Macaca mulatta: one gene and its partners. The protein of the gene in region 1 binds, or shares a complex with, the protein of each later gene. Links are inferred from orthologs where the notes say so. Each region holds a gene or a part of one and is shown in the gene's direction. Other genes may lie near its edges. The genes, in order: SEH1L, NUP37, MIOS and WDR59.

The links.
Region 2: SEH1L (region 1) and NUP37 share a complex: the UniProt entries of both Homo sapiens proteins name them as parts of the nup107-160 subcomplex of the nuclear pore complex. The link is inferred for Macaca mulatta from reciprocal best matches to the Homo sapiens genes SEH1L and NUP37.
Region 3: the proteins of SEH1L (region 1) and MIOS are in contact, whole or in part, in a cryo-EM structure (PDB 7UHY), measured with the Homo sapiens proteins. The link is inferred for Macaca mulatta from reciprocal best matches to the Homo sapiens genes SEH1L and MIOS. Residues at the interface, in NP_112493.2 of Homo sapiens: Met1, Phe2, Val3, Ala4, Arg5, Ser6, Ile7, Ala9, His11, Lys12, Asp13, Leu14, Ile15, His16, Asp17, Val18, Phe20, Phe22, His23, Gly24, Arg25, Met27, Trp47, Ser173, Ser174, Ser175, Asn230, Leu231, Gly232, Arg233; in NP_001357005.1 of Homo sapiens: Arg279, Arg316, Ser317, Phe353, Glu354, Arg355, Ile356, Ser357, Leu358, Ala359, Trp360, Pro362, Leu366, Met367, Trp368, Ala369, Cys370, Gly371, Arg372, Leu374, Tyr375, Glu376, Cys377, Thr378, Glu379, Glu380, Glu387, Asp389, Ile390, Ala391.
Region 4: the proteins of SEH1L (region 1) and WDR59 are in contact, whole or in part, in a cryo-EM structure (PDB 7UHY), measured with the Homo sapiens proteins. The link is inferred for Macaca mulatta from reciprocal best matches to the Homo sapiens genes SEH1L and WDR59. Residues at the interface, in NP_112493.2 of Homo sapiens: Asn308, Tyr309, Met310, Asn312, Lys314; in NP_085058.3 of Homo sapiens: Pro713, Asp714, Glu716, Thr717, Pro718, Arg721, Arg837, Glu840, Gln843, His844, Asn847.

The regions. Positions count from the first base shown.
Region 1 is NC_133423.1:83,645,180-83,648,771, forward strand, and holds part of SEH1L (nucleoporin SEH1), read left to right. Parts: intron 1-89; coding exon of another isoform or gene 90-166; exon of another isoform or gene 167-299; intron 300-1,066; coding exon 1,067-1,207; intron 1,208-2,343; coding exon 2,344-2,501; intron 2,502-3,592. Other genes in the region: succinate dehydrogenase cytochrome b560 subunit, mitochondrial-like, read right to left, coding at 90-166. UniProt on the Homo sapiens protein: Component of the Nup107-160 subcomplex of the nuclear pore complex (NPC). The Nup107-160 subcomplex is required for the assembly of a functional NPC.
Region 2 is NC_133416.1:109,432,170-109,436,517, reverse strand, and holds the start of NUP37 (nucleoporin Nup37), read left to right. Parts: upstream 1-1,524; 5' UTR 1,525-1,582; coding exon 1,583-1,738; intron 1,739-4,348. UniProt on the Homo sapiens protein: Component of the Nup107-160 subcomplex of the nuclear pore complex (NPC). The Nup107-160 subcomplex is required for the assembly of a functional NPC.
Region 3 is NC_133408.1:120,947,972-120,952,146, reverse strand, and holds the start of MIOS (GATOR2 complex protein MIOS), read left to right. Parts: upstream 1-1,293; 5' UTR 1,294-1,394; intron 1,395-4,175. UniProt on the Homo sapiens protein: As a component of the GATOR2 complex, functions as an activator of the amino acid-sensing branch of the mTORC1 signaling pathway. The GATOR2 complex indirectly activates mTORC1 through the inhibition of the GATOR1 subcomplex.
Region 4 is NC_133425.1:70,223,366-70,226,957, reverse strand, and holds part of WDR59 (GATOR2 complex protein WDR59), read left to right. Parts: intron 1-401; coding exon 402-566; intron 567-1,920; coding exon 1,921-2,016; intron 2,017-2,179; coding exon 2,180-2,336; intron 2,337-2,854; coding exon 2,855-2,924; intron 2,925-3,592. UniProt on the Homo sapiens protein: As a component of the GATOR2 complex, functions as an activator of the amino acid-sensing branch of the mTORC1 signaling pathway. The GATOR2 complex indirectly activates mTORC1 through the inhibition of the GATOR1 subcomplex.

The DNA.
Region 1 (3,592 bases):
GTGGGGAGACACAGGACGGTGTGAACCTATATTATTATTCCAGAACCGCTCTTATCTCTTCTTTTGCCGTGGTTCCCACGGGAACAGCATTTCTGATACAGAGCTGAGGGCCAAAGTGGGCTTGGAGGTAATGACAACCAACACGTCTCAGCAAGAGTGCAGCCATCTCGGGTTTCTTTTTTTTTTTTTTGCAACAGAGCCTCACTCTGTTGCCCAGGCTGGAGTGCAGTGGTGTAATCTCAGCTCACTGCAATCTCTGCCTCCTGGGCTCAAGCCATCCTCCCACCTCAGCCTCCTAAGCAGCTGGGACTACGGGTGTGCACCACCACGCCCAGCTATTTTTGTGTTTTGTGTAGAGGTGGGGTCTTGCTGTGTTGCCCAGGCTGGTCTTGAACTACTGGGTTGAAGCATTTCTTCCACTTCAGCCTCCCAAAATGCTGGGATTACAGGTGTGAGCCACTGTGGCCAGCCAAGACCTTATTCTAGTTAAATTTTTATTAAACCATTTCAAGCTCAGTGTACATTATCAGAGGAGGAAACATGGGAGGTTGTATTAATTTCCTAGGGCTACCATAACAAATTACCACAAATCAGGTGTCTTAACACAGAATGTATTCCCTCAGTTCTGGAGGCCGGAAGTCTGAAATCGAGGTGTCGGCGGGGCTGTGCTTCCTCTGGAATCCTTCCTGGTCTAGTCCAGCTCCTGCTGGCTCCAGTTCTTTGCCTTGTGGCAGCAAGACTCCAATCTCTGCCTCTGTGTTCACATGGCCGCCTCCTCTGTGTCTCTACGTCTCTCCTCTTCTTTTTTAAGGATACTTACTGCACATTGGATTTAGGACCCACCCTAAATCTAGGATGTCATTCTGAGGTCCTTAATTACGTTTTCAAAGACCTTTTTTGAATAAGGTTACGTTCACAGGTTCTGGGGGTCAGGACCACTGTTGAGCCCACTACAGAGGTGAGCGCTACATGACTGTGAGCAGTATGAAAAAGGTGCGATGCAGTGATGTGTGCATCTTTGTACATTTTATTTCTAAAATGTTTAAATTGTTTGTTTTTCCATTAGGAAATATGCAAAAGCTGAAACTCTTATGACAGTCACTGATCCCGTTCATGATATTGCATTCGCTCCAAACTTGGGAAGATCTTTCCATATTCTAGCAATAGCAACCAAAGATGTGAGAATTTTTACATTAAAACCTGTGAGGTGAGTTTTCGAAGCATTTATGAATTTGAAAATACTCTTGCCTCCTGATTACCTTTGTTTGTGGAGGAGAGAGTAGAGGTAACTATGATTTGGTTTATATTTCTGCTCTGGAAGTTTTACTTAAAAATGTAAACTCTGAAATATTTTTAAAAAATGGTCTTTTACAATTACTTTTAAATTAATGTCATTTTTGAAGAATGGATTATTGAATGAACATTTTATATATAAATATATGTCTTTTTGGAAAGAGGAATTGAGTAAAGAGTAGATTTATATTCTCTTAATTGTGCTTTATTTAGGCTAATACTAACAATTCTCCCAATATAACTGATATTCTATAAATATTTAATGACAAGTGGCAGTCTATTTAGGGAAAACTAAATTAGTATTGATACAGTCTTGTGAATAACATATTTAACTTTAATTTTGAATTGTGAATTCCAGTTCTTTTCTTTCTGTTCTTTCATTCTTTCCTACTTGCTGCCCTGCCCTTTTTTTTTTTTTTTTTTTTTTTTGAGGCAAGATCTCGCTTCATTGCCCAGGCTGGAGGGCAGTGACATGATCTTGGCTCAGTGCAACCTCTACCTGCCAGGTTCAAGCAATTCTTATGCCTCAGCCTCCTGAGTAGCTGGGACTACAGGTGCCCGCCACCACGCCTGGCTAATTTTTTATTTTGTATTTTTAGTAGGGACGGGGTTTCGCCATGTTGGCCAGGCTGATCTTGAACTCCTGTCCTCAAGTGATCTGTCCATCTTGGCCTCCCAAAGTGCTGGGATTACAGGTGTGAGCCACTGCACTTGGCCTTGCCCTGCCTTTTAAAATTAATTATTGTCATCTGTTTTATTCCTCGGCCTTGTGTGGGAGAATAAAATCATCCTGTTTTGTTGTTTCTTTCTTCCATGAAACAGTCACTGAATATCGTTTATGTGCTGGGATCACTCCAGGCCTTGGCGAGTTAAATGGAAATGACATTGGCCCAGCTCAAGGGCCAAGGGTGGGGTTTATGCAGATGAGTACATTATTATAAAGTGATGTGGTGGTGAGACCACTTGTACTAATTTAGAATTTTATATGTGTGTGTGTGTGTATTTTAAAACTTTGCTTAGAATGCCTCAGAAAATGTTTTTTATTAACAGGAAAGAACTGACTTCCTCTGGTGGGCCAACAAAGTTTGAAATCCATATAGTGGCTCAGTTTGATAATCATAATTCTCAGGTCTGGCGAGTGAGTTGGAATATAACAGGAACAGTGCTAGCATCTTCAGGAGATGATGGCTGTGTAAGATTGTGGAAAGGTAAGATTTCAGTGGAGGGGTAATTGTTGGTTTATATTTCTGCTCTGGAGTTTTTACTTAAAAATGTAAACTCTGAAATATTTTTTAAAAATGGTCTTTTACGGTTACTTTTAATGTCATATTAATTTATGTTATTTCGAACATCAGTTTACCTAGTTCATAGCAGTTAATCACTGAATTGTTTTTCAAGTTATATGGAACAGAGCAACTTTTAAAACTAAAGTAATTACTACAGAATATGCAGTATCTCCAGTAAAAAGATACCAGTTGTCATATATGTACCTTACTTGACTGCTCTACAGACTCAGGCTAGGACTATAGTCGCTCTTATTTTATCAAATAGATTACTTTAGACAATCAGTCCTTAATAGGAGAAAATCCAGTATCTTCCCTGCTTTGTGCAAACGTTAAGAGCCTTGGGGCCCTGATTGTAAGCTTTTTATAAGTGCCAGGCTGAGTGAGAAGGTCTGGACAGTTGACACTGACTGTGGTCTCTGTAGCGTGGTTCTGCACTGCTTTTTGGATGATTATCTGTTGGGCAGAGATTTCTGTGATTTGTGCACCACCATAATGAATGGTGTCCCATACTTAGCATTCAAAATTATAGCTGTCTTAGTTTATTTACTCTTTAGCAGTTACTGTTTCCCAAAGTGCAGTTTGGGTAAGCTTGAGGGCCTCCCATGTTCGATTTTGGGCTTTGGCAAAACCAGCTCAGACCTTCCTTTCTTCAGTGTAATTTGATTTCAAGGGCTTTGTTGTCCTTTTCTGCCTCTGGGCTTTAGTCTGGACCACCTTGCCATGCTCCCCAGCAGGCTGCCTAACTTGATTTTCTTGGGCTCATTGTCTTCAGAGACCAATTTTGCATTCAAACTAATAAGGCCATTTTGGATAAGCCACTCAATCTCCATCCATTTCAGAAGACATTAGGTACCCATACAACTTATACTTGCATAATTAAGAAGACAATTTCATTACCTTACATATGTAAGTGAAATTCATTATAATGAAGACTTTAATATTATAATGGAGATTTTAATATTAATTTCATAATGTGATAATACGGTAGCTCAGAAAATTGTCTCTGCTATTAT
Region 2 (4,348 bases), on another chromosome or scaffold:
GCTTGTCTCTGGTCGGTTCCTGGCGCTCTGCGGTGGGTATCGAGCGGGGAGCCCAAGAGGCCGTGATGCTTTTCTGCCGGCCGCCCAGCCCTGCCATTCTATCCCCAGGAGTTTTTCCTTCCCACCTCGGGCCCCGGGAGGTGGGAGCGGGGTCTTGAGGAACTCGCCTGGCCCGGGAGAGGTGTCGGGGCTCATTGCAGGGAGTTATCTTGTTCCCTCCCTTCTTCTCTGCCCTTCTAGTTTTACAGGGGCAAGTCCTGCCGAATGTGTATGGTGAGGCCCTGGGCACTGCTTTAATGAGCAGTAGGTGTGGGAACTGCACAATATCCTGACCTCGAATCTCTTGCACTTCCTATACCTCTCTGCCTCCATGTCCCTAACACTTGCTGGTCACCCTTAACAAGTTTTCAGTCCCGGATGTCCATTCCTAAGGTTACTAGTTTATAAGCGTCTCGAGGTGGGACTCATCTGATTTTCAGTAGATATTGTTAAAATGCTTGATATGTTTGTTACGGAGCCCGTCTGTTTTCAGGACAACGCTTGTGTCGAATTTTTTAAAAAAACCAAAAACTCTAAAACCCATAATTCTCCTGTGGGAATGCTACTTCCAGAGTGCACACTAGTCCCTGACGGTTAGTTAAAGTCTTGTGCCTAGTTTTAAGAATATTACTATTTTAAATTTTATTTTAAGTTCCGGGATACGTGTGCGGGACGTGTAGGTTTATTACAAAGGTAAACGTGTGCTATGGTGGTTTACTGCGCTTGTCAACCCATCACCTAAGTATTAAGCTCCACATGCATTAGCTATTTATCCTGATGCTCTCCCTTCCCCCAACCCCCCGAACATTATTTTTGTATCACAAATTTTGGCACTCCTTACAACAGATCCTGTATTTTGTATCTGTTTATATTGTAGCCCTTTTCACGTTGAGTCATAACTATCGCTAAATTGTGGTCTCCTTTAAGCCAGAAGGCTGTTTTTTTCTTCATTAGCACTGGTTCTCCACACACAATGAAGTCTTCCAAATCCTGGCCCTGCTTACAAGCTTGGCAAGTTAGTTAACCTACTGAAGCTACAGTTTCTCCATCTGCAAAATGGAGACCAGAGGTAGTACCTGCCTTTAGATTTGTACAGATACTAGATGTGGTCATGTCAGTGAAATCCTTAATGTGGCACCTGCAAATAGTGGTTCATAAAGGTTATTTTTATTAACATATTTGCTATTAAAATGATTCCATCTTCAGATGGAATACTTTTTGTTTTAGATAATCTAAACAGAACTTTATGGTGTTTTTGTCTGCTAGAATCACAGATACGGGAAAAAGCTGTAGAGCCAATGTGGAACCATTAATAACTAGATTTAATATTTTTCCTTCAGTTTCTGTCCCTTGATAAGGACTTTAAATGTTTCTTTTGAGCTTTCTGTCTCATTGTAACACCACAACCTTATTTTGATGCATTTGTTTAATGACTAACACTTCAACCATTCTAATTGTACCTGTGCTGTAATCCACAGTTTCGTGACCTTGTCCAGTAGAAGGCTATTTAATTTTCACAACTGCTTGAATTTTGACATACAAGATGAAGCAAGATGCCTCAAGAAATGCTGCCTACACTGTGGATTGTGAAGATTATGTGCATGTGGTAGAATTTAATCCCTTTGAGAATGGGGATTCAGGAAACCTAATTGCATATGGTGGCAATAATTATGTGGTCATTGGCACGTGTACGTTTCAGGTTAGTCTACAAAACTGCACCGAATGACAGTGAACATATTTCACTGATAAGAGAACTTACACAAACCAAATCTAAACTTTGAAAGTATATTGAGTTTGAATGTTAAAAAAAAAAAGATAACGCCCATAGAGAAAGATGTTCCCAGTTATATGTGCCTGAGATTTATGTAAACATTATATAGATAGTGAAAAAGAATAGTATGAGGCTTCTCTTTTGCTTCATGATCATTAATGGAATATTCTGATAACTGAAGGCTATGATTAACTGAACAATGGTATGTACAGGAAAAAAACAATATAAATGAGATCCAATTAATTACGGTTTTTCTACATCCTGCTTTGACATACGAAACCAGCTAATATTGAGAGCCTGGAAAATGATCTTCCAGGAGATTTTATAGCTTTTATAATATTCAGCTTTCCTATTAGTATGCTGTCATACTTTTTGTGCATCTGAAGTATGCAGAGTATGGAGTCTTATTAATTGAGGAGGCAGTTAAGCATCGCTATTAAGAGCGTGAATTCTAGAACTAGAATGCCTACATGTTTACTCCTGCTTTACTTACTTCTTACTAGCTATGAGACCTTGAATAAGATATTTAGCCTCTCCTGTAAAAAAGAGGAAAACTGCTCAAATTTTAGTATGTGTAAACTTCCGAGAGGGCATCTGACAACACTGTGATCCATATATATGTTTTAGTTGTCATTGATATGGGCAATGGTAATACTCTCAGATTTAATCACCAAAGTAACATTGCTTTGTGGTGAACATACACCATGTTTTCGCAGAGGAAAACTAGTTTTACATGTAAGAGAGACTTTGAACAACAAAGGTTCAAGCGTCAGGACTATCTGGCTAATCTTTTGTCTGTCAGAATATTATTATTTTTATTATTATTATTATTTTTGAGACAGAGTCTTGCTTGGTCGCCCAGGCTGGAGTGCACTGGTGTGACCTTGGCTCACTACAGCCTTCATCTCCTGGGTTCAATTGATTCTCCTGCCTCAGCCTCCTGAGTAGTTGGGATTACAGGCATGCGCCACCACCCCCAGCTAATTTTTGTATTTTTAGTAGGGGGTTTCATGATGTTGGCCAGACTGGTCTCGAACTCCAGACCTCATGTCATCTGCCCACCTTGGCCTCCCAAAGTGCTGGGATTACAGGTGTGAGCCACCCTTCCTGGCCTATCAGAATATTATTAATAGAACTGTATTTCTCAAATTATAATTAATACGGTAATTTGGAAGTGTCCAATTTTCTAAGGTTTAAAATAACTATCACTAAAGTGATATTATATCATTATAAATGTTATTTCCTCCTTTACTGAAAAGGCAATTCTGTATCTTTTTTTTTTTTTTTTTGATATGGAGTCTTGCTGTGTCACCCAGGTTGGAGTGCAGTGGTGCGATCTCTGCTCACTGCAACCTCTGCCTCCTGACTTCAAGCGATTATCCTGCCTCAGCCTCCTGAGTAGCTGGGATTACCGGTGCGTGCCATCATGCCCAGCTAACTTTTTTGTATTTTTAGTAGAGACAGGGTTTCACCATGTTGGTCAGGCTGGTCTTGAACTCCTGACCTCGTGATCCGCCTGCCTCAGCTTCCCAAAGTGCTGGGATTGCAGGCGTGAGCCATCATGCCCAGCGGCAATTCTGAATCTTACAGTATTGTGACATCAGAAATGCAATTTGGCATTTTATAGCACAATAAATATATAAAGCTTTACAAATTGGAATATAGTCATATTTAAGAGGAAGTATGAATTAAAAGTTTCAGTTTGTTGCTGTCTGAGTAGAATATGACAGCTCCTAGGCTATTTCATACTGTCTCTTTGGGTGGGGGGGTAGAAATTACTACCTTTTAGACTAAATATGACCCTCAGCCTCACTTACATGGACATGGTTTAGGATCATAAAAAGTTATATGATTAAAACAATGTTACATACTTGAAAAAGACTGAGGAAAAACCATTTCTCTAATGCAGGCCACCAATGCACAAAAGAGTAAAGCAGCCTCCTACAGGTAAAACTAATTTTTACTTCATTACTTCTAAAATTAATAACTGAACATAAAATTGTATTCAAAAACACTGAAAAATGTTTATCTCTCATTTATGATTAAGAAATGTTGAGAGAGAAAGTCAATGGAGAACAAATTAGGAAAAGAGAAAGGCAAAGATGAGAGAGGGAGAAGATGGGAGAAAGAAGGAAAATGACAACGTGAGAAAAAAGAACTAGTATAAACATTTGTGTTCTGTTATGTTTTATGGTCACATGTATTGTCTCAGTTGACCCTCATACCTGTGAGATTAGCAATGTAGGTCTCATGCCCAAATTACTAAGGAAAAAATTAGATTTTTATTAATTTGGACAATAGTAAACACAAATTATATTCTGCACCAGACATTGGAAATACAATTAAGTAAGTCCATTTCAAAATAAATTATTGCTTTTCTTTGAAGTTATTTTTTATCTAGCTAAACACTGTTAAACATTATTACTATTCTGTTATCCTAGAACCTTCAAGTTCCATTGCACCCAGTTTCATACCTCTTGTCTTGAGAGAAAACTAAGTAAAGGTAAATTAAGTGGAAAGATTTCCACATTCCTGTCA
Region 3 (4,175 bases), on another chromosome or scaffold:
GCCTAGGAACCCGGGGATCCGGCCTGTGGACCCACGGGCGGGGCCAGCGGGGTGCACAGGCGCTTTCGGGCGGAAGGCGGGGCCTCCCGGCCAGTGACCCCGCCCCGAGGCGCCTACCGGGCGGGGGAGGGCGGGACTCGCGGCGGGAAACTCCCCTTCCAAGGCGCGGCTGCGCGTCCCCGAGGCGTGGTGGTAGGGTCGTGGGCCCCAGCCCAGTGGTCCAGGTCACGGGCCGCGCCGCCGCGGCCGCCATCTTGCCCGCGTCCGGGCGCCTGCGGCAGGAGGGGCGGTGTCCCGGCCGGAAGCGGCTGTGCGGCGGCCGCGCTGCCACCTCAGGTCAGTGAGTTCGACCCGGCCCGCGTCTCGGGTCTCGGGAGCGCAGCGGCCGCAGCTAGGGGCCCGAGATAGCCTAGTTGAAAGGCTCGGGCGTCTGGGCGGGGAGCGCGTTCCGCGCTGTGGGGTAATCGCGCCGGGCGGCCAGCCGGTCGGGCCTCCGCGGGAGCCACCGGGGGCTGCGGGCGGCCGCGGGACCTGCGGGGACCTCCTCGGGGCGCAGAGGCCACGCTACAGCCTTCACCGCGGCAGGCTTGTGGGGAGCGGCGTCCCCGCCTTTCCCGGGAGGCTCAGCCAGGTGCTTGAAGCGGGAGAGTCGGATTCAGACTCCTGCTTTACCTGGAATAGCAACGTGCCCTGTTGCCATTGTACCCTCTTAAATACTGTACTTCTTAAACGGCCTATCTCCCGGTGAGCTCTGTTCTCTTCACATACGAGTAGTGAAAATTCCTTAAGAGGATGAATGAAACCTCACACATGTGGACTTTGCTGAATTGGTTAGCAAATGACTGCTTTTGCAGGCCTTTTGTATATTTTAAGGGAAATTTGGGTATGTGCAGTGCATCTCCTGGAAGATGCTGATGGTGGAAATTTCTTGAAACCGCTCTCGTAATTTGCCATGGTAAGAAAAGTAAAAGACAGCATCAAAAAGCATGTGATTGGATACTTTGTACACTTAGTAGTATTGTAATGTGTTGGACTTCACTGTCCAGTAGCCACATGGTATTGAGATGTGCTGTAAGTGTAAAATACACATCGGATTTCCCAGAGTTGGTGCCAGAAAAAATGTCAAAATCCTCACTAATAATTTTTGCATTGATTACATATTGAAAGGATAATGCCGTTGATATGTTGGTTAAATAAAATATGTTTTTAAATTTAATTCCACCTATTTTTACTTTTTAGATGTGACTACTGGAAATTTTTAAATCATATGGCTCACACTGTATTTCTTTTGGACAGTGCTGTTACAGATATTCTGATGAATAAACACAGAATGAGCATGGCTTTCCTTTGCTGATAAGTCACTGATGGGAAGTGAGACTTGTTAAACTTGAAAGGTGAGGATATAAATACAAGCTATACTTATTGCAAACCGCACCCCTTCTGCACCTAATTTTTTAATGTCTCCAACATTTGGAAAAAACATTAACTTTCAGGGCTGATTACGGGAATGGTAGTGATACTAACATCTATGTGATGTGAAGAGTTCATTTCAGTTGATGTCACAACTTTGTGAGATGGAAATGGGATAGATTTTATCTCGGTTTATGGTTTTGGAGTATTACAAGATTTGTTAGGATTTGAACTGGGGAGTGGCTGTAGGATTTCTGACTCTATATTGTTTTCTTTACACCAGATTCTTGGTGATGTATGTTCATGATCAAGGAACTGTTTATCCTGTGTATTAGATGGTGAAAAAAGTACACTTCTTAAAAGGGTGGACATAGATGCACCTCTCTATACAGGGTTACTCTTATAATGTGCAACCTGTGCAGTAGCGCATAGTCCAGCATTTATAATGGCTAGCACTTATTTTAATGGCTAGTCTGCTATCACTGTCTTGACTTTTTAAATAAGGGGCCCTGCATTTTTATTTTGCACCACGCCTTGCGTATTGTGTAGCTGATCCTTTCTCTTTGCAGTAATCTAGGATGGAAGTTGAGAGACCCTGGACAAGCACCCAAACATCTGGTCTTCACTTTACTGTTACGTAAAGTGAGAAGAATTAGTCTTTTTCTCTCAAGTTTTGATTCTGTATGAATTACTGTCATCAGATTTAGTGGATGGCAGTATAAATATTTTAGGTGCATGACAATGGAAGAAATGCTGATATTCTCCGTTGAGAGTCATGTGAATCAAAGTTCTAAAATTTACGCTACAACTCGTATTTTGTGTTTTGTAAGATGGATTTTTCTATGTGGCATCAAAATTGCTTACCATAGACCATTGGTATAAAGAGTAGGGTTGTGGAATGAAGGCCTGAAGAGTGTGTTTATTTAAACATTGATTTTTCAATGAGATGGGAAAATGGGGCAGATCTCATGATGTCAATTAAGAGGTTTCCTTTGTGGTGGTATGAGTGTGAAACCTTACTTGGCAGTATCTGTTCCTTTTCTTTGCTGTCATAGCTGCTGCCTATCACATGAGGTGCCCCTTTTCCTCCTCATTCTTAAATTTTTTAACCTCTTTAAGGTTGGGCTTAATTTTATCACTATAGTGCAGGTTTTTTTTTAGACCAGAGACTTCATCTGCTCATGTTTGCTGCTGTGTTCCCAGCTTTATGACAGCGCCTAGAACATAGAAGGTGCCCAATCTTACAGAATAAATGAAGTATGATAGCAGACACTTAAATATTGGCTGGAGCCAGCCTCTCCTATGAAGGGTAGAAGTGGAAGCATGAGGAAATAGGTAAAACTTGGAGATACCAGTTGTGAGAAGTGTCAGAGGGATCATTCAACACATGCATTTATTTAACAAATGTTTATTAAACTTCCTACTGAGTGTCTAGCACTGTACTGGGGACTAGAGGTACAGTGGAACACAAAAAAATACTTCACCTGCTCTCATGGAGTGTATAATCCAGTAGAAGAGACAGAAATGGATGATTAAAGGGAAAGAATACTGTTTAATGACAGTGTATGTCTGAGTAACCTGACCTCGACTAGGGAGGGGATGGAGGGTGGTTGATGTCAAGGTTGAGCAGGTATTAACTTGACCCAGAAGGCAGAGAACTATGCTTTAACCAGAGGAAACATCATTTGCAAAGGTATGGTGATGGGGGAGGAGGGTATACTCTAGGAATTGAAAAGGACAGTGTAAAAGGACAGCAAGAATGTTGTGCCACAAGGCCGATGCAGTAGGCAGAGACCAAAAGCATTTAGGGTTTTGTAGGTTAGGTTGAAGATTTGGAATGCTATAATAAGAGCAGCTGGAGACCATTAGAGGGTTTTAAGCAAGGAAGGATAGCCTGGTCAAAGTTGTGTTGTAGAAAGATTTTTACTCTGATATTCTATAAAGCAATATTTCCGAAGGGCCCAGGGGAAAGATGAATAAAAGAAAAACTGCCAGCACCGCACACCAGATATGTTGTATACCTTAATTTACTGAAATCAGTTTTCAGAGGCTTGAGACTATCCTCAGTGTGGTAGCACTTGGAAGCCTGAATGAGGAGACAAGATGATAAATAATTGGGTAAATGACTGGCAAACGGCAAACCCAAAGTGACAAGTAAATGAAGACATTGAGGGTGCTAGTAAGAATATAATTGAAATGATTGATCTTGGGCTTGAGAAATGCTAAAGAAGGAAATAAAATCAGTATAAGAATTCCTTAATCAGCAGTCCCCAACCTTTTTGGCACCAGGGACCGGTTTCATGGAAGACAGTTTTCTCACAGACGAGGGATGGGGTGGTTTCAGGATGATTCAAGCGCATTACATTTATTGTGCACTTTATTTACATTGCACTATATAATGAAATAATTATACAACTCACCATAATGTAGAATCAGTGGGAGCCCTGAGCTTGTTTTCCTGCAACTAGATGGTCCCATATGGGTGTGATAGGAGACAGTGACAGATCATCAGACATTAGATTCTCACAAGGAATGCACAACCTAGATCCCTGTCATGTGCAGTTCACAGTAGGGTTTGCACTGCTGTGAGAAACTGATACTGCTATTGATCTGACAGGAGGTGGAGCTCAGGCGGCAGTGTGTGAGATGAGTGGCTCTAAGTAACAGATGAAGCTTTGCTCCCTTGCCTGCTGCTCACCTCCTGCTATATGGCCTGGTTCCTAACAGGCCAGGAACCAGAACTGGTCTGCGGCCCTGGGAATTGG
Region 4 (3,592 bases), on another chromosome or scaffold:
AAACCAAAAAAACAAAAAGATTCCCTGGGCATGGTGGCGCCTGCCTGTATTCCCAGTATTTGGGAGGTAGGAGGTGGGAGAATCACTTGAACCCAGAAGGTGGAGGTTGCAGTGAGCTGAGATTGTGCCACACTGCACTCCAGCCTGGGCGACAGAGTGAGACCCTGTGTCAAAGAAAAAAAAAAACTTTCAGCTTATTCCATTGGTATGAAAATTTAATAATCTGATATGAAAATTTAAGAATCTTTTTGAAAATGAATTGTCTTCCACACAAATTTGTCTTTGTAGAGTCTTTTCCTTCACCCAATTACTAGGAACATGGAGCGTTCAGTTAAATGCACGTGCATCGAAAGACGCTTTGTGGTTTGTTTGCAAAGCCATTGTGGATTTGTCTCTTGCAGATGGATGCGGCAGACAGGAGCTGCACAGTGTCCGTGCACTGCAGCAACCATCGCGTCAAGATGCTGGTGAAGTTCCCTGCTCAGTATCCAAACAACGCCGCCCCTTCCTTCCAGTTTATTAACCCCACAACCATCACGTCCACCATGAAAGCTAAGCTGCTAAAGGTAGGGGTCTGGGTTCCCAAATTCTCCTGCTGTTCTGCATCATTGTCTAGACTGAGTAGGAAAGAAGACTGAAAACTCTAGTAGATGAGATTCAGAAGTCATCTGTTTCATACACACACTAGTGTTAGCAACGTAACCTCTGCACTTGCCATTTAGTTTGTGTAGAAAACATAAGAGCGGTGGTTCTTAACCTTTTTTGGGTCATGGCCTTCCTCAGAAAAATCTACACAATGATTGCATATGGTTTGAGAAATACTGCCTATAAATATGTGAATTGCATATAATCTGTCCACAGATCTCATTAACGTTATGCATTCATCTCAGGTTATGAGATTTGCAATCTAATTTCATTTAGGAGTCCAGGTTAGGAGCACTGCAGTCCAATTTCGTTTATGTGGAAACAACAAGCAAGATGTATTCTGAAGCTAAAAGATATTTTACAATTAGAAAAAAACATGTGTAAGGTCATAAAAAAAATTTTATCCCATAGAAGGAGCTGGTGTTATCCTAGAGGTAGGCTGGCTAGCTGCACAGTGGGTGTCCAGATGGAGGTGCCACAGCCTGACATCAGTGTTTAATTCTGCAGATTCAGAGACTTGATGTGTCAGTTCATCCAGAGCAAATCAGGTGGAATCTCCATGACAAAGCCCCATGAGCCTCTTCATACCCCTTGTTCAGTTTGAGCAGTGTCACAAGTAAAGGGACTGGAGTTTTTTTGGCAAACTCAGGCCAACCTGAATGTTGCTCATTTTTTGCCCGGTTTGGGTCGTGGACACTTGATTGTTACGCTTTGTTGGGGTATCACATGGAACTAGGACGTTTTCAAGTGGCTTAAGGATCTCTGAAATGCCAGTAACTCAGATCTTGTGGTATTTGACATGTTAAACTTGGAATCTGAATATGTCGTTGCCTAGTTTGGACATACAAAAAAGATAGATTTTTCTATTAGTATAAAATGATACGATTAGATTGCAAATTTTTTTTGTGAAAAATCAGACCTTTTCCCAGTGCAGTGGCTCACTCCTGTAATCTCAGCACTTTGGGTGGCCGAGGCGCATGGATCACCTGAGGTCAGGAGTTCAAGACCAGCCTGGGCAACATGGTGAAACCCCATCTCTACTAAAAATACAAAAAGTAGCCAGGCGTGGTGGCGCATGCCTGTATTCCCAGCTACTCGGTAGGCGAATCACTTGAACACAGGAGGCAGAGGTTGCAATGAACCGAGATCGCACCACTGCACTCCAGCCTGGGCAACAAAGACAGACTCTATCTCAAAAAAAAAAAAAAAAAAAAACAGAATAGCCTGTCAGAGAAATGTGTTCCTCTTCTTGACTGTGTTTTGGGCCTTTTCTAGATCCTGAAGGACACGGCCCTGCAGAAAGTGAAGCGTGGCCAGAGCTGCCTGGAGCCCTGCCTGCGCCAGCTCGTCTCCTGCCTCGAGTCCTTTGTGGTGGGAAGCATGAAACTGTTGTACCAACTTATGCTTTGGGGTTTTGTTTCATTTCTTTCTCCCTAAAATCATGGGCTTTTTTTTTTTTTCCTGCTGGGTGCTTATTTTGTAATTCAACTTCAAGACAGGTTGTGGTTTTAGCTTATGGAATTTTAAATTTCAGAACCAGGAAGACAGCGCTTCCAGCAATCCGTTTGCACTCCCCAACTCCGTCACACCCCCGTTACCGACTTTTGCTCGTGTGACCACAGCCTACGGGTCGTACCAGGATGCCAACATTCCGTTTCCTAGGACTTCTGGGGCCAGGTTCTGTGGAGCAGGTGGGTCTCTTTGGTTCTCTGATTCTAGATTTTGAGAGGGAGCAGCTAAGAATGCCATAGATTCTGTATAAACATCTTGAGCAACAAATGTTTGCTTTTACTCCCAGAGAACTCCAACGAGACTTTCATAGTAGCGTGGCAGGGTGTGAGGTCCAGTCGGGGTCTCTGGACTTATCCTAAGAGTGTGCACCATTCTGGTGGTCTTAACTTTCTTCATTCTGATGAGCTTGGGTTTGAGTCTTTACTCAGAGCCCTGAGTCTTAGCAGGGGACAGTCCCCTGGTAGGGAGCCTTAGAGTCCCGCTGATGACTCTGCCCCGTCCACCTACATCCTCTTTCCTGGACTCGAGTGCTGACCTTTGTTCTTGGTAAGGGTCACCGCAGTCGTGAGTCTTGCAGCTTATGAAAATGTGTCTTACCCTCAGGTATACAGAGATAGAAGACTGGCCAGTCCTGCCTCAGGATTTCCCACGTCCAGCTTGTTGACGCTGACGGCTCATGTGATGTCTTCTTCTTTAGGTTACCTGGTGTATTTCACAAGGCCCATGACGATGCATCGGGCGGTGTCTCCCACAGAGCCTACTCCGAGGTGAGTGCGGGAGATGCAGAAGCCACTCTACGTTCCCGTGGCCAGAGACCTGGGAAGGACCATGGAGTTTGTCTTTGGACAATGCGTTTTAGTTCTTCAGTAAACTCCTATTACAAGATTTATTTGAGAAAGATTGAAGTCAATTAAGTTGCAAGAAAGCTGAGATTTCTGCTGTACAGTTATTAGCAAACCATTAGAAGAAGTAGATTGATAAAAGCTCTTGTCAAAACAAGGCAAATTGTTTTTAAATATGCCTTTCCCCTATTGCTAGCATATTATTTATTATTTGTTTTTGATTATTTTATTATTCAATTTAACATTAAATAAAACTGGAAAAATAACAAAAAAACCATCTGTAGTTTCACAACATTAATATGCCACTTCTGATATTACCAAACAATGTGTAATTTTATAACATTATGTAAGTAGTGCACTGGGAAAACAGAAACGAAATTTTTTTTTTTTTTTTAAGATAGGATCTGGCTCTGTCACCCAGGCTGGAGTGCAGTGGCATGATCATAGCTCACTGCAGCCCTTACCTCCTGGCTCAAGTGATCCTCCTGCCTCTGCCTCCCAAGTAGCTGGGACTACAGGCGTGCACCACCATGCCCAGCTAATTTTTGTATGTTTTTTTAGAGATAACGTTTTGCAGTGTTGCCAGGCTGCTC